3 linked regions of the Lonchura striata genome follow. The protein of the gene in region 1 interacts with the protein of each later gene in a pairwise test. Links are inferred from orthologs where the notes say so. Each region holds a gene or a part of one and is shown in the gene's direction. Other genes may lie near its edges.

The links.
Region 2: the proteins of PIAS2 (region 1) and CCNDBP1 interact in binary tests that used the Homo sapiens proteins (3 or more experiments, as listed by UniProt). The two-hybrid records come from large-scale screens. The link is inferred for Lonchura striata from reciprocal best matches to the Homo sapiens genes PIAS2 and CCNDBP1.
Region 3: the proteins of PIAS2 (region 1) and NAV2 interact in binary tests that used the Homo sapiens proteins (3 or more experiments, as listed by UniProt). The two-hybrid records come from large-scale screens. The link is inferred for Lonchura striata from reciprocal best matches to the Homo sapiens genes PIAS2 and NAV2.

The regions. Positions count from the first base shown.
Region 1 is NC_134642.1:2,609,326-2,617,388, forward strand, and holds the start of PIAS2 (E3 SUMO-protein ligase PIAS2), read left to right. Parts: upstream 1-4,998; 5' UTR 4,999-5,087; coding exon 5,088-5,111; intron 5,112-8,063. UniProt on the Homo sapiens protein: Functions as an E3-type small ubiquitin-like modifier (SUMO) ligase, stabilizing the interaction between UBE2I and the substrate, and as a SUMO-tethering factor.
Region 2 is NC_134619.1:8,496,968-8,504,658, forward strand, and holds the start of CCNDBP1 (cyclin-D1-binding protein 1), read left to right. Parts: upstream 1-4,668; 5' UTR 4,669-4,719; coding exon 4,720-4,786; intron 4,787-4,883; coding exon 4,884-4,943; intron 4,944-5,608; coding exon 5,609-5,688; intron 5,689-6,289; coding exon 6,290-6,371; intron 6,372-6,818; coding exon 6,819-6,915; intron 6,916-7,169; coding exon 7,170-7,243; intron 7,244-7,540; coding exon 7,541-7,617; intron 7,618-7,691. Other genes in the region: ZNFX1 (NFX1-type zinc finger-containing protein 1), read left to right, coding at 1,536-3,965. UniProt on the Homo sapiens protein: May negatively regulate cell cycle progression. May act at least in part via inhibition of the cyclin-D1/CDK4 complex, thereby preventing phosphorylation of RB1 and blocking E2F-dependent transcription.
Region 3 is NC_134608.1:57,024,930-57,032,685, reverse strand, and holds the start of NAV2 (neuron navigator 2), read left to right. Parts: upstream 1-4,721; 5' UTR 4,722-5,522; coding exon 5,523-5,780; intron 5,781-7,756. UniProt on the Homo sapiens protein: Possesses 3' to 5' helicase activity and exonuclease activity. Involved in neuronal development, specifically in the development of different sensory organs.

The DNA.
Region 1 (8,063 bases):
CCTTCTCTGCAGTCCCTCCTTCAGCACCAGTTGTACTTTGTCCATGAAAATGTGTCTTCAAGGGCTGTTCCCAGCCTTGGCTCCCAGGAAGAACCAAGACAGCACTGGAGCCTTGTATCCCCCGGGGCTTGGAGCTCTGGAATTTGTTGTGTATTTCTGCTTAGGGAAAGGCCATGGAAAAGTACTGGGAAAACTAGCTATTAATACAATAAGTGACAGAGTTACAAATATATGTGTGAAGAATACAGAGAGCATATAAAATTTAAAAGGGCGAAACCCAAACAGCATCACTTTGACAGATTACATCCAAACTCTGTTTTGTCAAACAGCTGCATAGAAAATGCAGATACAATGCAGGCAACATAACTTATTTCTTTACAATAAGCAGAATCAGAGAACCACAGGATAATTGGGTTGGAAGGGACTTTGAAGACCATCCAGTTCCAGTGCCCTGCCTCAGACAGAGACACCTTCCACTAGACCAGGTTTCTCCAAGCCCTGTGCAGCCTAAGCATCCAACTTAGAATATTTTGTCTTATAGCCAGAGCACACATATTTTTTGTCAGCAGCATGATTAAGCGTGTCTTTCAGTCTCTCTGCTTTGACAGCTCTAGACCTCACACAAGAGGTCTGACAACCACTTAAATATTTTTGCCATTCACTCCTAATGTTACCTTAAAAAGGACATGACTGTGGGATATGAGAGATGATGGAGAAGCTTAAGGCTGACCTCATAAAACTCTTTCCTTTAAACACAGGACACACAAAACAAATCTACTTTACACCCAAGTCGCCCCAGCCCCATCCTTGCCTGCCTGTGGTCTATTAGCAGCTGGTTAAGCAGCACAGGAGGGGTTTGATGAGGTGTAATTCCGATAAAAGCAATTGTTGCAATCCTTCGAGCATCTGCAGAGTGGTTTTGTTTGTTGTTTTGGGCCTTTTTTTTTTTTTTTTTTTTTTAACTGTAGTGTTTGTGGAAGACTGGGAGGGTTTATTTGGATGTTCAGATGTCTTTCCGTAGTTAACACAGCTGTGGGAACAGGCAGTGCTTATACAGACATACTGTTCATAGCACAAGAAAGATTACTAGAAAAGGCTGAAACCAGATGGGTTTTTTTCCCTAACAAGCCTCAATTTAGAGGGCAGGTTGCTTAGCACCTAGAGGCTCGTTAAGTGCCCTAATTAGAGCCTACTGGGGAAGATAAAAACCCAGCAACTAACTCAGTGATTTCTGGGAGATAGGAGTATGTAGTGGCTGCTCTGGGGAAGGTCTCATCCTCCAATGGCTGATTCTGGGCCGAGATTTAACACTAATATTGAAAATTCAAAAAATGCCCAAGGAAAGAGCCTAGGAGATGGTTCAGGAGATGCAGCAGCAGGTTTAGTGAGAAGAAAGAGGAGAAGAAGAAAGGGGTTTCGGAGATGGAGGTCCAAGAAGAAGCAGAAGTTTTATATGCCAGAAGAATTTCTGACATTTGAGGTAAGTTTAGTGGAAAAAGAAATAGTGGAAATGTTGAAATTTAGCAAAGATGACTTGGTAGCTGTGGAGTATAAGCCTGGAGTTGATGTGTTTGTGAGAAGTTATTATAAAACAGCAGGATTTTAAAGAACTAGAGCAGGGAGATTAATTCTAGTTACTGGAAAAACAGAAGAGGGAGATTTGAAAGAAATTTTTGTGGGGAGATAATGGAATGTGTAGTACAAAGACTGCGGGAAAGACAGAGGAACACTTCAGTAAAATATTGTGGAAAGCTACTACATAAACTATTATTATCTTATGTATATGAGATATATAAAAATAGCATTTGCTCCTATCCCTGCAGATATTGGGGATAAGATGAATGGAAATGTTGAAAGATGTGGTTATGAAGTGAGAGGTGAGTTGTACACTAGAAAAGAACCGCCTGGCTCTGATGTGAGCTTGAACACTGATGTCCTTCCTGGTGTGTTTGAAGGAAGGAACACTAGAGGGTTTGTTAAAGGAACAAAAGAAGGCTTTGGTCTGGTCATGCTTTAATGATCTAAGAGAGTCTAACCTGCAGCTTGCCCCTTTAGTTTGGTATTGGAGGGAAAAATAAGCATTTGATGGACTTAGGAGTTGAACTCATGCAGTGGTGTGGCAGATGGCATGTTTTATTAGCCTGTCAATTATTGGTTTTGACTAACAGAAGGTGTTTGAAATTAATGAAGTCCTTATGTTTAAATCTTCAGGGGAAAGGGGTGTCATAAGACCAAGCACAAAAGCTGTTAGTGCAGAGGACTAGGTATTTGTGCCTGCAGTGGAAAACTTTGGCACATTTAAGGGTTTATCTTGGAGTAAACAGTAAATAAAAAGGAAAGCCTGTCTTAGCAAGCTGTTGCAAAAGTGCAACTAATGATGTTAGTTATTGAGTTCCTTGGAATCCAGGTCTTACAGTGGCATTAAGTGCCCATAGGTAGCGTGTATGGCAGGGATCAATATCCTGTAGAAAAGGTTCCCTAAAATTGCCTGCCAGCATCCCTCCTTGCAGAGCCTGCTGCTGACGTGGCCTGTCCCTTGGCCCATACGTTACTGTTGAAGTTGCTGCTCTGGATGTGTCAGTCGTACAAAACAAGCTGCCTTTTGGTTAATATGAGCAAATATGTTTTGCATTCCAGGCCTCTTTTATTTTTTTTATCTTCTTGTTTGGGTTATGCTGGCTGCTCGCCTGTTTGTTGGCTGAGTCTTTCCTATTTTTTATTGCAATAAATCGGTAGTTTGCTTTTACAGCCAAGTTGCTGATGAAACTGAATATTGTGAGTAGGTAATTATTGTGACTAGGTAATGATCTCTGGCTGCTTTTGAAAACAATATTCTCGGCTGCACCTCGATGTTTATTTTCCATAAATGTCCTAACATTTACATTCCTTACAGCTGGAAACCCATTATCCAGTTTTTGAGGCTTACTGCTGATGACATTTTCCCTTCATTTTTTATTAATAAAACATGCTACATCATCATTATAACACGAATTATGAGTGCTGTTGATTGGGTGGATAAACTGGGCTGTAAAATCACAAGCTTTCTATTTAATCCACTTCAATTGCAAACTGGAATATGTTCTATTTATTTTATTCTATGATTTCCTAGTTTGGTTGTTTTTTTATTTTTGTTTGGTTGGTTTTTAGTAGAACAACTTAGTTAAAGAGCAGAGTATTAATTCTGGAGGGGAAGAAACATGGCAGGTGTGACCAGATCTGGGCTCCTCAGTACAGGAAAGACAAGGAGTTAATGCAGAATGTCCAGTGGAGGACACAAGGATTATGAAGGGTCTAGAGTAGCCCTTGTGATGAGAGATTGCAAAAACTGGGTATGATTAGCCTAGAGGAGACTGAGAGGGGATCTCAATAATGCAGATAAACATCTCAAAGGATCTAGAGGATAGTGCTGGACTCTTTCAGTGGTGTCCAGCAACCGAATGAGGAGCAATGGCCAAAACTGAAATACAAGAAGTTTCACTTCAGCATGAGGAAGAACATTATTTTGAAGATGGCACAGCTCTGGTAGAGAGGTTCCAGGGTTCCAGGAGTGTCCCTCTGTGAGACATTTGAAACCCACCTGGAGTTCCAGTATGACCTGCTCTGTGTGACCCTGCCTTGTCAGGTCTAGGTGATCTCCAGAAATATATCTATTTTGTCATTCTGTAATCCCTCTGGAATCTTTTCCAGGGCCATTTGAATTCTTCGCACCCTGCAGCTGCTGCACGAACACCGTGTAATTGGGACCGGTATCTATGGACATGTGTGTGTGCACATGGACAAGTTTTCCCTCACAGTTCCCAGTCTGTCCCACTGTGGGGCAGTTTCCTTTCAGGGCTCCCAGTGTGTCTGTACCACTCCAGCCCAGTTTCCCCCAGGATTCCTGGTGTGTCTGTACCACTCCAGCCCAGTTTCCCCCCTGGGTTCCCAGTATGTCTGTACCACTCCAGCCCAGTTTCCCCCAGGATTCCCGGTGTGTCTGTACCACTCCAGCCCAGTTTCCCCATTGTTCCCAGTGTGTCTGTACCGCTCCAGCCCGGTTTCCCCCAGAATTCCCGGTGTGTGTGTACCGCTCCAGCCCCGTTTCCCCCAGGATTCCCGGTGTGTGTGTACCACTCCAGCCCGGTTTCCCCCAGGGTTCCCGGTGTGTCTGTACCGCTCCAGCCCAGTTTCCCCATTGTTCCCAGTGTGTCTGTACCACTCCAGCCCGGTTTCCCCCAGGGTTCCCGGTGTGTGTGCCGCTCCAGCCCGGTTTCCCCCAGTATTCCCGGTGTGTGTACCGCTCCAGCCCGGTTTCCCCCAGGGTTCCCGGTGTGTGTACCGCTCCAGCCCGGTTTCCCCCAGGGTTCCCGGTGTGTGTGCCGCTCCAGCCCGGTTTCCCCCAGGGTTCCCGGTGTGTGTGCCGCTCCAGCCCGGTTTCCCCCAGGGTTCCCGGTGTGTGTACCGCTCCAGCCCGGTTTCCCCCAGGGTTCCCGGTGTGTGTGTACCGCTCCAGCCCGGTTTCCCCCAGAATTCCCGGTGTGTGTGTACCGCTCCAGCCCGGTTTCCCCCAGGATTCCCGGTGTGTGTGTACCGCTCCAGCCCGGTTTCCCCCAGGATTCCCGGTGTGTGTGTACCGCTCCAGCCCGGTTTCCCCCAGGATTCCCGGTGTGTGTGTACCGCTCCAGCCCGGTTTCCCCCAGGATTCCCGGTGTGTGTGTACCGCTCCAGCCCGGTTTCCCCCAGGATTCCCGGTGTGTGTACCGCTCCAGCCCGGTTTCCCCCAGGATTCCCGGTGTGTGTACCGCTCCAGCCCGGTTTCCCCCAGTATTCCCGGTGTGTGTACCGCTCCAGCCCGGTTTCCCCCAGTATTCCCGGTGTGTGTACCGCTCCAGCCCGGTTTCCCCCAGGGTTCCCGGTGTGTGTACCGCTCCAGCCCGGTTTCCCCCAGGATTCCCGGTGTGTGTGCCGCGCCAGCCCGGTTTCCCCGCAGCTCCCCTCGCCCCGCCCCGCCGCCCTTCCCGCCGGACCGCCCTCCCCGTCACGTGCCGGGAGCGCGCTCCGGGTGCACGATGATGGTGGCGGCGGCGCCCGGCGGCGGCGGGTAGAAAATGGCGGATTTCGAGGAGCTGCGGGTGAGGAGGAAGGAGGGAGGGAGGTGGCGGCGGGAGCAAGATGTCGGTGCTGGGGCGTCCGCGCCGTCTGCTCGGGGTGACGGGGAGGGAGGGAAGGAGCGGGCCCGCCCCGACTTGCCGGGGGTCGGCGGGTTCTGCCTGGGGAGACCCTCCCTGTCAGTGCGCGGTTCCCCGTCCCCGCCGCGCGGGCTGTGCTGCCGCTGCCGCCGGGGCGGTTCTTCGCTCGCCTCCCGACATTTTAAAATCCATCTCGGCGCTACCGAGCGGCCCCAGGGCTCGGGCGGCTCCTGCTGGGCCCCGCGCTCCGTGCGGCTGAAGGGAGGGCGGTGAAGAACCACCACTGTTAAAAATGCTGATAGTTGTGGAATCTCTGGAAATCCGTGGACCGCTTTCCAGCCGGGAAAGCTGTGCTTGCCTAGCGTGAAACCCAGTGCCGCTTTTCAGACTTTTTGTCTTCGTGTTCATTATCTTTCATATTGTGGTGGGCTCTCTCTAGCAGATTTGTCGGCGTGGGTGTGTGCGTGCGTGTCCTTTCATTTTGTTAAGGTGTGTACACAAAGAACTGACTGCACAGTCGGTGCTTTTCCTCCTATTTCCTGAATATATATCCGCTCTTAAGCTTTGTGCGGAAGGAGGAGGTTATCTTTCACCAGCGTCCACAGCTGCAGGAGTGGAATTCTTCGTGAGAATTCTGCGTGCAGGCCGCTCCCCCCGACCTGGACTTTGTTAAATGAGGGATTAAAGCCGGGAAAATAGGAGCTACTATGAGCTGGGTTTTAGTGGAGAGGAAGAGCTGGTGTCGGTGTGACCAGTGGGAAACGCTGCAATGGCCAGAATTTCCCATGCTGAGCCTTCTTCCAGCGCTAATACTGGTAGTGCAACTGAGGAGCTCACTTATAAAAATATAGTGGAAAGAACTGTGTTTCTTTGTCTGAAGACAGCAGTGCTCTGTCTCAGTTTTAGGTTTAGGAATTGTTGGCTTATTTTTTTGTGCGTGAGCCTTGTGTTGTTGGGGGTTTTTCCCCCCCCTTGGAATGTGTTTACACATTTTTTTGCTCGGTGTCCTCACTCATTCTCAGCCCTCATTCCAAGGTGTCTCAAAGGGTTTGGCTGAAGCCCCTGTGTAAACTTTGTGACAGTGGTGACTCTTCTTTTATCTCTTCCTCTCCAGTCTTGAGGTGGAGTTGTGATCTGTTTCTCCCGGAACGCTGTCATTGGTTTTCTAGATATCGATAAGTATTGATAATCTCCCTCTGGGCATTAGGTTCCTGAATACCTTTAAAATTGACAAGAAACTGAAGTGCATGGATAGATGTAATGCAGGAAGTATGGAGAGAAAAGGAAGCTGTGTTTCAGGCCGACTGCAGAGCTGCCCTTTCATCATTCAAGAAATGCCACTAGTTTAAAAAAAAAAAAGTCTAAAGACATATCTGTTGATATTCCCATTCATCTTATTTGTAAACAGGAGTGCTTGTGAGATGAATCCGTTAGCCTGGAGCTTCTTTAAATGTTCAGTATCTGTCTGATAATAATTCATGGACTGTTGTGGGAAAGCTCTAGGTAATTTTTGGAAGAGAATGTAATTGCCTCATGTCTGCAAGGCCATGGCTGAATTTTTCCTTTTTTCTTTTCACATTTGAGGATGCATTTGAATGTGTCTGCTTGAATATCAGATAGTTGGTTTTGAGGCTGACATTTTTTTTCAGACTACCAAATCTTCCTGCTTTTCACCAAAAATGAGAGAGATTCCCCCACCCCTGGTAGATTTTGTGAATTAACCTTTAGGTGTGATCTGAAATGGCTGCCTTATAGATTAACCGACTGAATGTTTTTATAGCAGTATTGTTTGCTGCTCTCCTGATGATTGCAGTTTCCTGTAGCATATCATCTCTACCTGCTATATAAAAGACCACTTGGGCCATTTTGAGAGCAGAATTTTAGTAATTTGTTAAAGACTGTCTAAAGGTAGGAGATCAGAGTCCTCTCTTAAACACTGTTTCCTGAGGGAAGCATGCAGGCGCAGCATTTTTTTTTTTTTTTTCAGGGCAAAGGAACATTTTAATATTTGTTAGGACTATCCCTGGCATCTTCTGGATCTTCACAGTAAAAGTTCTGTGGAGTTGGGACTCCAGGGTTATAACTGAGAGGCTGTAGTGAAAGAAGCCAGACTTCAAGAAACCTGCTGTTACATCAGGCCTTTTGGAAATCTTCAGTTTTGTTAAAGGATTTGCTACTTTTCAAGATACTGGTGAAAATGTCTGGTCTAAGGTTTACTCTTCCAGAGCATGTGATTACTGGTTTCTGGAGCATTAGGGAGTGGCTGAGAATATGTTTTGCCTTTCAGGGGAGCACAACAGTGTCTATTTATGGTTCATTTTGAGATACCATTTCCAGAACTGCTGTTCACAGATGTGTTTTTAAACCTGGCTCGTACCTCTATCCATAATCCCCTCTCCAGAGCAACCCAGTAAATGATGAAGGAATTACTCAGGCACAGGCGGATGTGGAAGAGAATCATCAGTCTGGTGTGGAGGCCAGAGATGACGAGTAGACACATTTTTGAATAGAATTGGCCCAGAAATGGGGAATTACAGCTCCTTGTGAGCACCATCTGTGAGACAACAATTCCAGCTCCCAACAGATTCTGAACTCACCAAGATTTAGCTTGAAGCTTGTTGAATCTCAACAAAATACTGCAGATAAGAGGATCAGTTACATATTATTATTTCATATTCTTGGGTCCATTGTGTTTCTGCTGGCGTCCTGACTCTAAAATGGAAACAAATAATGTGGAGTGCATGCAGTCTTTGAAACAGATCTCTAGTGTAGGTGACAGCATCAGTCTTGTAGTTCGTGTTTAGTCACGTTTTGAAGTAATTTGTTAGTGTCATCTTTGTGGGGCAAAAAAGAAGGCTCTTTGTATGCAAATGACTCTGCCTGTGCCAAAACTAA
Region 2 (7,691 bases), on another chromosome or scaffold:
ACTTTAAAATAACAGTAAAAAATGAAAGGGGGAACAAACGAATTGTAGGAGCATGAAAGCTAAGAAGAAATCTTAAATGAAAGGCTTAATGGATAATATTGAAACTCCAACATAAAATAGGTGACAGGATTGCTGGAACTCTTTTTCCTTGGTTTCTCCATTTGGGCATTTGCAAAGAAAATCTATGCAGCTTACTTCCCAGAAGTCTGAACCAAGCTTAGACTTTTACACTGATGGCCTTGGATCTCTGAAACACAAGCCATACTCTGGGAGAAAGACTGGAGGCAGTTGCAGCAGTAGCATTACAGAACCTTAGACTATGTAAGTCTGTCTTCGTAAAAAAACCCAGTACTAATTAGTTATAAGTTCTTTAACTGGATGAAGGAAGCATTCTGCAAACTATAGCAGAATGCTGAAGTCACACAAGAGAAAATTAATAGTGAAGATTTAATTATCAGAATAAGCTATCTGGAAAAGTGGTAGATCTTGAAATTCAGATCAAGTCTTTGAAGAAGACAATTTAGTTAACTAAATTAGAAACCCAAATAAACCCCTTCCAAAATCCAGCTAACCAAAACCCCAACAAATAAGAAAAATACCACCTAAAAGACATAACAACTTGGGAGACTACAAAATTTTACCCCATTTCTGCTACAAGAATCTATTCTAGAGAATCTTGTGGTTCTATCTGGCCTTAAAACAAACTTCAGATACCAAAAGGCATCAAAATTGAATCTTTGTATTTTTCCAGCTAGTACAATAACCAATGTAAGTGATGACTGAATTAAATTCTGCTCCTCTGGACACTTTGCCCTTATGGATACCTTGGAAAAGCAAGAGATCTGTGTTTGATCTACAAAAGCTGTTCTTGCCTGTTAAAATCAGTCTCTGGGTTTTGGCAGGCAGAAAAATAATTTCTTACAGGTAAAATAATTCCAGTTAATAGGTAAAACATTAAAAGCTCCTACTAACTCGGGGCAAATAGAGTTTTTAAACAGGTGAGCAGTCTACTCTACACATCATGAGCTGGTAAGTGACTACCGGAGTCCTAGCATTCCTAGTTTATTCTGTTGAAGGAGAAATCTTCCTTGCTGCTTCTTTTTATTGCAGCAACAGAGGAGGCATGTTTTAGGCAAGTGCTCAGCCCTGTGTACTGGTAACTTAGTATCTTTTTCTCACAGGGCCAAAACAAGACACTGTTCGCACCTTGAGTATGGTTTGAGAAGTTACTAACACTTCATGTTTTCTTTGCTATAACCTGGAAATGTACAGTAAAAACATCTCTGGAAAGATAGGGAATAAAATCCGAAACTGATTTCATATTAGGATACTAAAATATTACCAATAAGCTGAAATGGGAATTTGATTAATAACCTATGGAAATCTGAGAGGAAATTACCTAAGTACACAGTAACTGCATACTGTAGTCAGCTCCTCAAAAGTCCTCTTGTCAGTGGATAATCAGGAGCATGGAAACAGGTTGTGGTGACAGAAACTAGAATTCTCTCTCTCTGACATCCTTCCTCTTGTTTCAGGGTGTCTCAACTAATGTCTTCTTTGTGGAACATGAGGTTCCTGAACAAGAAATCCAGGAAGGGAAAAGCCACCAGAACCCACATGAGGCCCACTTTGTAGTGGAACTTTGCAAATACTTCTTGTGTCAGGGCTATGAACCTTCTCAGATCACCATTCTCACTACTTACACTGGACAGCTCTTCTGTCTGCGCAAGCTCATGCCAGCAAAGATCTTTCAAGGTGTGAAGGTTCATGTGGTAGATAAATACCAGGGAGAGGAGAATGATATTATTCTGCTGTCATTGGTGCGGAGCAACAATGAGGGGAGACCTGGGTTCTTGCAGATCCCTAATCGGATATGTGTGGCATTATCCAGAGCTAAGAAAGGCCTCTATTGTATTGGAAACATGAGAATGCTTGGCAAGGTTCCTCTCTGGAACAAGATCATTGAAACCCTTGGGAAGAATGGTCACATTGGCCAGTCATTGGAGCTTTGCTGTCAAAACCACCCTGGAACCAAGACAAAGGTATCTACAGGTGAAGACTTCAACAGTGTCCCGGAAGGAGGCTGTACTCTTCCCTGTGAGTTTAGGTTGAGTTGTGGGCATGCTTGCACAAGGGTATGTCATCCATATGACCCAGAGCACAAAAAGTACCAGTGCCTGAAGCCTTGTCAAAAGGTACTTTGTGCAGATGGGCACCGCTGCCCAAAGTCATGTTATGAGCCCTGTGGAAAATGTATGGTGAAGGTAGAGAAAACGATTTCTAAGTGTGGCCACATACAGATGGTGCCATGCCATATTCCAGCATGGGAAATTGAGTGCCTAGAACCTTGCCAGAAGAAGTTAAACTGTGGACACACATGCAAGAGTTCCTGTGGGAAGCAATGCAAAATGTGGTGTTCTGAACAGGTTACTATCACATTGAAATGTGGCCATGAGCAGGAAGTTTCTTGCTGGATGGCTGGCATGACGAGGATGAGAGGTGGTGTGACATGTGACGTTAAGTGTTCTGTCACACTGGCATGTGGTCATGTGTGTTCAGGTTCCTGTGGTTCTTGCTTTGGAGGAAGATTTCATATGGCATGTGTCAGGCCATGCACGCGTGTCTTGATCTGTTCCCACAAGTGTCATGAGCCTTGTACTACAGAATGTCCTCCTTGTCAGAAGGAATGTCAGAACTACTGTATCCACAGTAAGTGCAAAAAGAAATGTTGGGAAAGCTGTGTTCCTTGTGCTGAGCCATGCGAGTGGCAGTGCCAGCACTACCAGTGTACCAATCTTTGCTCTGAGCCGTGCAACAGGCCTCGCTGCAATGTTCCCTGTGCTAAGATGCTGCCCTGTGGTCATCCCTGTGTTGGATTGTGTGGAGAGCCCTGCCCAAAGAAGTGCCTTGTTTGTGACCACGAGGAACTCACTCAGATCTTTTTTGGCTTTGAGGATGACCCAAATGCTCGATTTGTGCAGCTTGAAGACTGTGGCCATGTCTTTGAGTCGCTGGGCCTTGACCACTATATGGATGAAGATGATGATGTCGTCAAGCTGAAGGTATGCCCTTTGTGTCAGACACCCATCAGAAAGAATCTGAGATACGGCAGCAGTGTGAAAAGGCAGGTGGAGGAGATAGAACGGGTGAAACAGAAAATCCAAGGCCCGGCAGAGGAAATTGAGTCTAACAGACGGAGACTGCAGGCTGCACTGGCGCGGGAAGTTTTTCTGAAACGTAATCTATTCTCTAAGTATGTCATGCTGGAAAACCAGCTAAAATCTTCTGCTCTCTCAGCAAAGAGTATTGGACTAATTGAGAATCTGCTTAATTTCTACAAACGTGTAGCAGAACTAATTAATTCTATTAAAAAAATTGATGAGAATGAACAGGGTGAGGTGATAGAAAGGCTGAAAGAAGTGATGAAGTGGTTGGATAGGCAGCGCTTCAGTTTTACAGAACAGGAGCTCACTGACCTGCAGTCTGAGATCCAGAGACTGACTTATTTGCTGGGCCTCTTGGAAAGGTGCAAAGCAAGTAGGATGATGTCCACAGACATTGCAGCAGAGATTAACAGTGCACGTGAGATCCTGGAAGGGACAAAGAAATTCACAGAGGAGGATGAGGCTGCAGTGAAGGCTCACCTGAAGAAGATCAATGCTAGCTTGCCTGTGTCAGGGCTGGGGATTTCTGAGGCTGAGAGGGTGCAGATTGTCAGTGCTATTGGCTGTCCCCGTGGCCACTGGTTCAAGTGCAAGAATGGCCATATCTATGTAATTGGGGAGTGTGGGGGGGCAATGCAGAGGAGTACATGCCCTGAGTGCCATGAAGTCATCGGTGGTGCGAACCACACTCTGGAGAGCAGCAACAGCCTGGCCCCGGAGATGGACGGGGCAACCCATGCAGCCTGGTCCGATGTGGCCAACAACATGCTCAACTTCGAGGACCTCCGCCGGCTGATGTAGAGCGGTGTGAGCCCCGCTGCTTACCGCAAACACGCACACAGGGGCACAGCCCCGCTGCTTACCGCAAACACGCACACAGGGGCACAGCCCCGCTGCTTTCCCTGTTTGCTTGCCAAGTAATAAAGTGTGTATCGAAACGAACTGGTCTGCGCTGTCTCTGTGGGGTGGGTCTGTCTCTATGGGGCTGTCTCTCTGGGGTGGGACTGTCACTATGGGGCTTTCTCTGTGGGGCGGGGCTGTCTCTATGGGGTGGGGTGGGGCTGAATCTGTGGGGTGGGGCTCTCTGTGGGGTGGGGCTGTCTCTTTGGGGCTGAATCTGTGGGGTGGGGCTCGGCTCTCTGTGGGGCGAGGCTGTCTCTGTGGGGCGGGACTGTCCCTGTGGGGCGGGACTGTCTCTGTGGGGCAGGGCTCTCTGTGGGGCGGGGCTGTCTCTGTGGGGCGGGGCTCTGTGGGGCAGGTCTCTCTGTGGGGCGGGACTGTCTCTGTGGGGCGGGGCTCTGTGGGGCAGGCTCTCTGTGGGGCAGGGCTGTCCCTGTGGGGCGGGACTGTCTCTGTGGGGCGGGGCTCTGTGGGGCAGGCTCTCTGTGGGGCGGGACTGTCTCTGTGGGGCGGGACTGTCTCTGTGGGGCGGGGCTCTGTGGGGCAGGTCTCTCTGTGGGGCGGGGCTGTCTCTCCGTGGGGCCGCTCCAGCCGCTCCCGGAGCGGACGTGACGCGCTGCCCGCTCCGGGGCCGCTCCGGGGCCGGCCCGCAGCGATGGAAGCGCGGGAGCCGCTGCGGGACGTGCGCGGGGCGCTGCGGGCGGTGCTGGCGCGGCTGCGAGGTGCGGGCCGGGGCCGGGGCCGGGGCCGGGGCCGGGCGGGGGTCGGGCCGAGCCGGGCCGGCTCCCCGCGGGCTGAGCTGTGTCTGTGCCGTTGCAGAGGGAGAGCCGGGCGAGGGCCGAGAGCCGTTCGAGCTGCCGCGCTTCTGGGACGCGCTAGGTACGGGCGGGGGCGGCCGGGCCGGGCCGGGACTCGGTGGGGGCCGGGGCCGGGTACCCGCGGCGCCGCTCCGCGGTAGGGCCGCTGTCCCCGGCGGGTCTGCAGCTGTGGGGCGTGCCCTCCGCTCGCGGAGTCACGGAATGGGCAAGGCTGGAAGAGACAGAGCTTTAAGATCAAGTCCAACCGTTAACCCAGCGCTATGTCTGTAAGCCCTAAACCACGTCAGCCTCCTAAATATCCCCAGGGTTAGTGACTCCATCACCTCCGAGGCCAGCCTATTCCAGTGCCTGACCACTAACTCTGCTCACCAAGCGCTCCAAGGTGTGGCAAAGCAAAGGCCGGTATTGAACTTTTCATACAAGATTTATAAAGGTCTCTGTTATAGCCTCCTGGCACATCCTGGTGAAGAGGTCATGAACCAGGATGCAGATTGGGCTTCTGGCTATCACTACCAGCCAAGTGAGAAAAAGCAGACACAGGACACAAGCAACATGCATGGCACAAATGCACCAGGGAATTTTTCTTTGTGGTTTATGTTTTTGTATGGCTTAGGTGTAATGGTAAGCAAGTAGTAGGATCAGAGGTGCTGCTCATCAAGCTGCTCTGTTCTTTTATCTTTTACCTGAGTTTCTTTCTCTTCTTTTGCTCCCATTGGATTTTTTTAGGTCAGACATTCCAAGTAACATCACAGGAAGCTACAAAGCTGAGTCTGGCATTCTCAAGGCCTCCACTACCTTCTGCAGAGGTGAGAGAAAGCCTCGACAGACTGTGAAATTGCAGTGTGTTTGCAAGCTTCAGGTATTTCTTGATTCATTTGACTAAATGGGTTGTGTACTGTAGAGGGTATTGATAGAATCCAATAACTGCCCAGAGAACAAATTTCTCTAAGGTAGGGAAATATACTAAATAAAAATGTTCTTGTATTCTTTCACAGCTACAGCTCATTGTTGATGGAGATAGATTATTGGAGAATACAGACCTTAGGTTTAACAAAGAATATGCAATATTTTTGCTATCAGTGGAGAGAAGTTTATCATACAGGTGTTTGGAGGAGAGAGAAGAAAATACCTTCATTCAGAGTAATGATCTAAGTTACTTTTTCTTCTCTGATGAATAACCACCACAGCAGGAGTGTTTTGTTACTAAATCATGAGGCAGGTTGAGATGCATACAGCTTGCTTATGGTGTCTTTTTTTCGTGCTGTGTTTGTTTCTCAAGCAGACTGGCCGTTGTTATTTTCCCTTTTCTCGGAGCAGTCTGAAAGCCAGTGATTGTTTGTGAGGATTTCTAAATGTGGTGCAGATGTGTGTTACTCATGGGTGATCCTTTTGCCTCTCCATTTTCAGAACTGCCGGAAGCTGAGTGAGGATGTCCAAAATGCCATCCTTGCAGTAGCCACGGTGTATTACTGGCTACCCAAGGGCCAAGGTGAGATAATGACAGCAAGGCAGTCACTGCTGTATAGGATGGTGGTTCTTTGACCACCACTATGTAGAAAAACTGAGTGTTTCAGAGCTAACGAGTTCTGGAATCAGCAAGTTTTCGTTAGCATGGTATCCCATTATCAGCTGTTCTGTAGACTTTGAACGTGTTTATGAGTGAGGTACTTGTCTGTCTGCTGCTGCAGTTTTCCATCTGTGGGAGAGTGATAATGTAGGAAGTTGTGTAGTTGACTGAGCATTGAAGTTCATGCAGTGTCGAAATCCTTGTCCAGAGTTTTTTTTGGAACTGGGAAGCATTTTCCTTTCTTCAAATGACTTCATTTATACAGTGTATCCACACAAACAGAGCAGTCTGTGTGTTCATCCTCAGCACTTGCTTCCTGCCAGTGCTGACTTTGTGCCAACTTTCTTGCTCTTTCTCAATCTCAACCAGGTACTACTCTTCGGAAGATGGTTCGAGATGCTACCACTGAAGTAGTGGAAGGGATGATCCAACTCACAGACACAATTCTCAATGCTCCAGTGGAGAGGTTGTAATTTTCAATTGCATGGTTCTGTGATTTTTTTTTAAATTTTTGGGAAAAAGGGCAAGAAAAAGTTGCAAATATGCTTGTTAGGAAGCAGCAAGACCTTTACACGGACATGCCATACTAGTGATAAGCTGGTTGGTGACGTCTTTGCAGCAGAACTTTTGCTGGTGTTTATCATCAGAAAATTTAACCACAGTCTAGCACAATGCTGTTATTGACTCTAACCTTGAGGGTTTTGTTTTGTTTCATTTCAGCTTGTCTCAGGAACAGCTAATATCAACTGGAGGTGTGTGGGAGGCCTGTGAGCAAGTGTCTAACCTGCCACGAGGTGAGTGTTGTAAATGCAGAGCAATAGCACTAGGACGTATTGTCTTGGAACATCAGTAGCTTTTGCAAGGACATTCCAGCTGGTACAATGAAGGCTGAATGCAGAATAACTCAAAAACCTGACTGGTTTTGAAATGTATAAGCTTGGAAACCAGGTCAGATTATTTGCCTGACAACAGTGCAGCTCTGAGCTCTGCAAGAAGTTTGATCCTACAGTGATTGCAAGCCTAGATGGAGGTTGTTGCACACTGACTGGAAACAGTGAGGTGCCACAGTTTTTGTCCTTTTGCTTTTGCAGATAACCAGGCAGCAGTTGTGTCAGCTCTGACTTCATGTCTAGGTGTGGTCAAGGATGCTGTGGAGGAGATGGAACAAGTAAGGAGGCCCCTAAGCCTTAGAGGAACCTGCAGTGGTGGATTCATAGACTCAGAATATTCTGAATTGGAAGG
Region 3 (7,756 bases), on another chromosome or scaffold:
GATCCATATTTATTCCTGTCATAACTTCACTTAAGTTGATGGGGCCGTGCCAAGGCTGAACATGCCCCCAGTCTATAGGACAGCTGCCTGGCAGCAGTAAAGCTTGATGAGAATGGCTTTGAGAGAATAATTAAACCCTCTGATTCTGACACTGTGTGGTGACATTTGAGGAATATTCACCTCGGCTTGAAATGATTTTTCTGGGAGATTGCAGATCCATCCTTAATGCCTGAAAGCTGAGGATAGAGTTGATCAAGGTGTTTTCAAGCCTTGAGTTCAGTTCCATCAGCAGTTCTGAATCACCAGACCAGCTAATGAGGTGTTCTAATTGGTAGCATAATTCTACATGGTTTTTCCATTTACGCTAATGTAACATTTGGCTTTGTTGAGGATGTATATTAACCACAAGTTGAAAGGAAGGTCTGATTTTCTGATCTTTTGCAATATTTCATCAAGCTTTTAATTTTACTTGCAATACCCACATGCAATTCATTCAGACATTTTCTTTCCACTTGGGTTTAGAGACCCTGTTTTGTTGTTAACTGATAATGTGTGGGCTGTGGAGGCAGCTTCAATGGTTTTGCTGTTCCAGAAACGTTCATCTCATTCATAAAGATCATCTGTTCAAGAGCAGTCAACCCTGGGCTTTTGTTCTCTTTATGGGCTTTGTTTTGGGCAATGTGCTGACTTGCCTGCAAGCTCTTGAACTACAGGGCATTCAAACAGTTTCCTCTGGTGTTCTGTTCTGGTTAAGTTCTGGAGTTCACATGAGCCTGCTCACTAAAATTTTGAGAGTATTAAGCCAGTTCTCAACACCAGAGTCTTGGCACTTGAGCTGACACTCCATGGTGCTGAGCAGTCACAGCTTGAGCCCCAAGCAGGGATACTTTCTGAGCTTCAAAATCAGCTGTGTAAGCCAAATCAGTAGGGTTTCTTGTGGTTTCATTGTGATGGGTTGTTTTTTCTAACAGGGAAATGCTTGTTTACAGCATTTCCCTTCCATATTCCCCCATTTGGGGAGTGAGTGGATGCTCCCTCGACTACAGGCAGATAAGGAGGGGATGTTGTAGTTATTCAGGCAAAGATACTCATCAGACTTAAAGCTGCAAGGGAATTTCTCCTAGTCACAGGCTTACTCAACATTTCTGGGAAGGAATGAAGCTCTTGCTTTTTGTTTAGGTAATTTGCCTCCTTTTTAAGGTTACTTACTCCTACCTTAGACACAGAAATCTGGGTGATCCAAAACAGGGAAGGGAAAACTGGTTGGGCTTTTCAAAGAAGATAAGAGACAGGTTCCCAAATCCCTTTGACTGTCCAAGAGAAGTAGTTTCTTTTAAAAATCCTAGCCTTAAAAACAGATAAAAAGTAATTTATTAAGCAAAAACAACAACAACAATCCAAAACCAAAGCAAAACAAAAAACCGGGACAACCCAAAAACTTGTCAATTCCAAAGTCAGACCAAAGTTGATGTTGCCAGTCTTTGCAGATAAAGCCTGTAATGTGATATAACTTATGATCTCATGTAACTGCACTGCCACTGGATACAGCAGCTTGCATTTCAGTGCCATTATGCTGTGATGTTTAGATATATAAAGCAAAATATGTATAACATAAAAGCTCCCCCAGGTTTTAGATGACAAAGGATTGTTAGGTGCAAACTGACTCCATGAGAGAAACAGTAATTCTAGGTCACTCTTCAAATCTATTATCAGGAATTCACATTAAGCTTTGATGAGGAATGTGTCCACTGATTTGGCAAAATGTCTGTCAGGATCATAGACTGAGTGTATTCAGAAGAAATCCTATTCAGTAGGCTGGACTGTATGCTGAGAATAAGTAAAACTCCTTTGAGTGTCCAAAGGAGCTGTGGAGTATCCAATCTGCCATTGTCAAAGGATCAGATTCCATGATTGTTAAGGGAGCAACGAAAGGAATCCTTTTCTTTTGGTCAAATTAACTTTGTGGCTGGTTTGGTGTCCCATACCCTAGCCAGTTTTCCAAGATAAAAACAGAACAACAAAAACAGGCAAGTCGGGTGCAGCAGGGATTGGTGGCCCGGACCTCATAAAATGTGTAAGTGAAGAACAGAACGTAAAGCTGTCAGTTAGATCTTCTAATAGCTTTTAAACCTTACTATATTTTATTACAGATCTAAAATTAGCCTCGTTTTCAGGCCTGGATCTTTTTCAAGATGTTCATACTGGAGCCCAACCTTCTCTAAGCCAACAGGGTTGAGTTCTCAGCATGGAACGATGGAAATGGTGTTGGAGCAGTTGACACATTTCTGCTCCAAGGACTACCAGTCCTCTCAGATGGTAAATTTACATTCTTTATCGAATTGTAGGGTTTTGAAATGTTCTATATAGCTGTGTTTAAGCTGTCATTGTGGACAGTTATGGCAGAAGATTTGTCTTGGTGGGATCTCAGTGGATGATGAGGCATGTGTGCTTTCCCATCTGAAATTGGTGGATAAAGAGATTGAGGTGGAAGCAGTTACTTAAAAAAACAGCTACCATAAATTTACCCTTTTGTAGTTACTACACAACAGCCTGCAGAAGTGGTACATGTGAAAGCAGTGTGCTGAAAAATCCCAGCAACAGCCAAGACTGAGCACGTGAGCTTTATGTGGGAACTTGAATTACATTTTACATTGCAGTGTTGAGGAAGAATAGTACCTGATAATAAGTAGAGCACAATTTCTGACTTTAGTTTTTAGTACTGCCACTTAGTCACTGTGTAACCTTGGGTAAGTTATTGAGGATGACATCTGCAGAAGGATCCAGCAATGCTGCCTTTCAAACTGGAGACACCTACAATACAATCCAAGAAATGCCTTTTTTCTGCCTGAAAGAGTCTCAGATCTAAAAACCTGAGGTTTACACATTTAAAACTTCCTGAAAAGATTGTGTGTTAAAGAGGCAGGTCCCAGCTCCCCTTGCCATGAGTGATTGAACGTGAATGAGCCGTCCTTCCCCAAGCACTGCTTGCAGCCTAGATGGGGCAAGGGCAGTGGGGCTGGGCTTCCTCTGTCCTGCTGAGTTTCTGCACCCAGTGTGTATTTCAAATATTTCAAGTGTAGGTTCATTGTTTCCCTGGATGCCCCATGCCTGGAAGTGTTCAGGGCTGGTTTGGATGGGGGTTTGAGCAACCTGGACTAGTGGAAGATGCCCCTGCCCATGGCAGGGGGTTGGAACTTTTAATCTTAACCTAAACCACTCTCTTTGTGCTAGGATCAATCTTTTCCTTGCCACCCAGGCAGTGGCTTAGGGGTTCATTACTTGGGGAATGGATGAGGTGGGAATAAGGAGTTGAAGGAAGCAGCCCTACTAGGAAAATAAAGTAATTAACTGGAACTGTGATGAAGATTTGATTGAAATGCACCTTTTGCTTCCATGTCTCATGTTGGCTTTGTGAATATTATTCTGAGGCACCCTCCTATAATTATAGAATTGTTAAGGTTGGAAAAGACCTCCAAGATCATCAAATGCAACTGTTAACCCAGCACTGCCATACTCTCACTAAACCATGTCCTCAGGTGCCATATCCATGTGTTTTGTGAACACTTCCCTGAGCAGCTTATTCTAGTGCCTGACAATCCCTTCAGTAAAGAATTTTTTTCTAATATCCCATCTGAACCTGCCTCAAGTGGTGCCACAGTCATTTCCTCTCCTCCTGTCACTTGTGGCTTGGGAGCAGAGCCTGACTCCCACCCGACTGCAATCTCCTCCCAGGGAGTTGTCGAGAGCCAGAGGGTCCCAGCTGAGCATCCTTTTCTCCAGGCTGAGCCCTCCCAGCTCCCTCAGCCACTTCTCATCAGACTCGTGCTCCATTCCCTGCTTCATTCCCTTCTCTGGACTCACTCCAACCCCTCAGTGTCTTTCTTGTAGTGAGGGATAAGTCAAAGCCTTGGCTGGCCACTGTGGCATTGTATGTCCTGGTGCTGGGCAGTCTCGAAGGCATCGCTTGGTGCCGTGATTCCCAGAGGGATGATCAACCTCCCGCTGTCCTGCAGGTGTGGCAGGAAGGGAATAATGCACCTCTGGAATGCCACAGGATGAACAGGAACGCGGGCTCCGGGGCTCGGAACGGGTCCTGGCATCCACCGAGCGGCGTGAGGCGGAACCTGCGGCACTGAGAGCCTCCCCAAAGCCAAGTGTTGCTATAACAGGGCCGTATTACTCACTGTGCTTATTCAAATTCCTGTTGATGCTGGCAGCGGCAGTTTTTTTCCCGAACGGCCACGAACAATAAGTCACTTCCAGGTGTTTTGATTTGAATTTTTTTTTTTTTTTTTTTTTAAATTTCAAAAAGAAACCGGTCCCCGGCTCGCTCCGTGCCGCGCCTCCGGAGCATCCATCCATCCATCCCTCCAGATCCCTCCTCCCCACAGGTCTCCCTGCTCGCCGCGGGAGCCGCTCCTCCCCCTGCGGAGAGAGGGAGCGATTTCTTGAGTATTTATTTATTTATTTAATTTTTTTTGTGTGTGTGTGTGTTGCTGCTCGGAGCGGGCAGGACCAATCCGGGGCCCGCCCTGCCCGCTCGGTGCCGGGCAGCCGCCGCCTCCCGCCCGCCCGGCTGGTCCCGGCCCCCCCGGGATGCTCCGGGAGCCCGCTCCACTGCGGGAGGGAGCATGAGCTGCATCGGCTGCCGGCTGCTTTCCCTTCCCTCTCGCTGCTGAATCGCTTTCATTTTTAATCTCTTTTTTTCTTCTTTTTTTTTTTTTTTTTTTTTTTTTTCCCACCCCTACTCCTCGCCCCGTCCAGGTTTTTATGCTCAGCACTAGGGGAGCCGGGAAATTTTGTGGCCGCTGACATATTTTGGTTTAAAAATCGCTGTCAGTGGACGTTTCTCCTTCTGCTCCGGCATCGTTGTCCTGTTCACAGCTATTTAGGCTTAAGAAGCTTGATTCACTAAGGCTTGTATCCAAGGGCATCAGTCATTAACACACTGAGCTACATCTGCTTCTTGGCTAAGACTGAAGAAGGACATCTTAAGCTGGAAATCCTGCTCGCTCACTCTCTAGTGCGTACGGAAGGGGAAGCATATGCAGCAGCAGGTTCCTTTTTTTTTTTTTTTTTTTTCCCCCAAAGGCTGCCTCACTTTGAAGATGCGGTGACAAGATAATGGAGTGAAAGTCTTTCATTTCCAGGCAAGAAAATTGCAGGAGTCAGAGAGAGGAAGGAGCAAGTTACATAGCAGAAATAGGAAAGAGGACAGTGGTAAAGAACTGAAAATAAAATTAGAGGAAACAGGTGGAAGGCTGGCATAAAGCTGAGAAATATTTTAGACTGAAAGTGGTGTGTTTTTTCTTCTTTTTCTCTTTTTTCCTTTCTCTTTTTTATTTTTTTTAATTGGTTTTATTGTAGATTTTAAATTCTAAGCTGATTTTGGAGATCTCTGCAGTAACCAGGCTGCTTTACAGCAGAACAGCTTCCCCAGCGTGTCATTTTCTCTCTCCCTGCCTGCTGTCTCTGCTGTTGCTGCTGCTGACAGAAACGTGTTAGGAAAGCAGAAAGAGAAAATGCCAGCCATCCTGGTAGCCTCCAAAATGAAATCGGGACTACCTAAACCCGTACACAGCGCTGCTCCAATCCTGCATGTCCCAACGGCCAGGACCATCCCACAGCCCTGTTACCTGAAGTTTGGGAACAAGGTGGAGGTGACGAAGCCATTGTATTCCAGCCAGATTCCTCTCAAATCTTCCAATGGACAAGAAAACGCAGGAGACGGCCTCCCAGCAAGGAAGAGTAGCTCGGTAGAAAACGGATTTGACACACAGGTTAGCAGGCACCAAATGCTGGGGAGGTGTATGTGAGGATTTATTTCTGTGTTGAGAGTGTGCAGCAGGTTTTCTAGGGTAAATAGCATGGAATTGCGAGGAAGGGATGTGTGTGTGTGCCAACATCTGTCTGCAGCGGTGGGATGTTTTATATTCCACACAGTGGCATGTGTGATTCTGTCAGCATGATGGAGCTGGTGGTGGGGTGCTGAGGGATGGGGCTGCATGTGCTGCTTGCCCGTGCTGCCTTCTCCATCATCTCTGCTTGAACTGGGGGGGATTTACAGGAGGGAGATGGTGGAGATGTTGTTTGTGGGGTGTGTTCTTTGTGTGCTTTCTGTAGGTGCTAAGCGTAAGGGCTGGCTCGTGTGCCTGGGCTGGGGGAGGATTGCTGGTTGTCACAAATGGGTTTTGTGTTTGGTCATGTACTGTACCGCAGCACTAGTTGTGTGAATGTTCTGTGTTTGTAGCTGTGTGGGGAGTGAATGGGAGGCAGTGCTTGATGCTAGATTACAATATGCATGTCATTCAGTGCAGTTAAATTAAACAGATTATGTAGGAAAGCAACACTTAAGTGGAATTGCCTGTATAATGCTATATGTGCACGACATCATAGATGCAGCACATCATCAATGCACACATTTTAGGTTTCCATTTAATCTGTGTCAGCCTTCTAATGTATTTTTATATGTGCTGCTTGCTGTAGAGGGAGGAGAGATGCCCATTGCTCAGCTGGCTTAATTTCTGTGGGCAGGGTGAGGTTGGCAGCGTGGCTGGGGCTGCCCTGCACTGCCCTGCCCTGGTGAGCTCCGCAGCAGCGTGGGCACAGCAGCAGCGTGGGCACAGCGTGTGTGTGACCGTGCCACGGAGGGAGCAGAGCAGAGGGGCTGCTGCAGCAGCCACAACTGATTGCTGTGCTCCAGAGATGGCTGTACAGCCCTGGCATGTATTTTGGCAGCAGCTCTATGCGTTACACGCTGCTGCCGCCAATGTCTGAGCCGGTGGAAGGTGATACCATTATGCAGAGAGAGGGAAGTGATGGCAGAGACTCCCCTGGTTTTTTTCCTTCTTTGAGGAATAATGGATCATCCCTACCACCTCGATTCTGAAATCTGTGGCCTGGTAACCCTGTTCCCTTCAGACAAGTGTGCCAACTGATTGGGCACGTTTGACCGCGTGCCCTGATTTCGGGATATGCTGCGCTTTCCTTGCTGGTAGACAGGGTGACTATGGGGCTGCTCAGGCCAGACAGATGCAGCTGGAGCAGTTCCTGAGGGACTGAGAGCAGGAAAAGGAGACAGCCAAGCATGGATCCAGGCTAGTGTCAGCAGACAGACCAACCTGTCTGCCCTTACAAGATAATCAATTGCTCTCTCTCACTTGTGCCCGAGTCTATCCTTGTGATTATGAAACGTCAGCAAAATCTCTTTATTTGCTGCCCTTTCTCTCACACATGCCATGGTTTCTGCATGGAAATCTATATTGCTGGAAAAGTGGTTGTTATTCAGAAATACTTTCGCCTCTTTTAACAGATCATGCTCCCAGAGATCTGCCAGTGGGAGCTGTTTGCAGCACTATGGTGGTTTTAACCCTTACAAGGATGTGGAACAAACCCCATTTTTTGTAGCCTGATGATGAAAGGGTCTTGATGCTAACTTGTTATATGTGAACAGGGAAAGATTTTGGCTAAGGAAATGTCAGATAATTTTACATTTTTAATTTCTTCAGCAGCAGGAAAAATCTTAAGCTTTGCATTCTCAGTAACCTCCTCTGGCTGGCAGTCTGAGCAGATGACCAGCACCTTTTAAGGTGTGACAGTGAGGCTTTTTTCACACAGTCATTTTTTTGTTATTCAGCAGTTTTGTTGATCCAGCTTTGTTCCTTCTGCCCACAAAAGCATGCAGGGTTTTGCTATTCAAGGTGGTCATTTGGAATGGCAGTTTATATCTAGAGGGAGATTTTTCCAGATGTGTTCT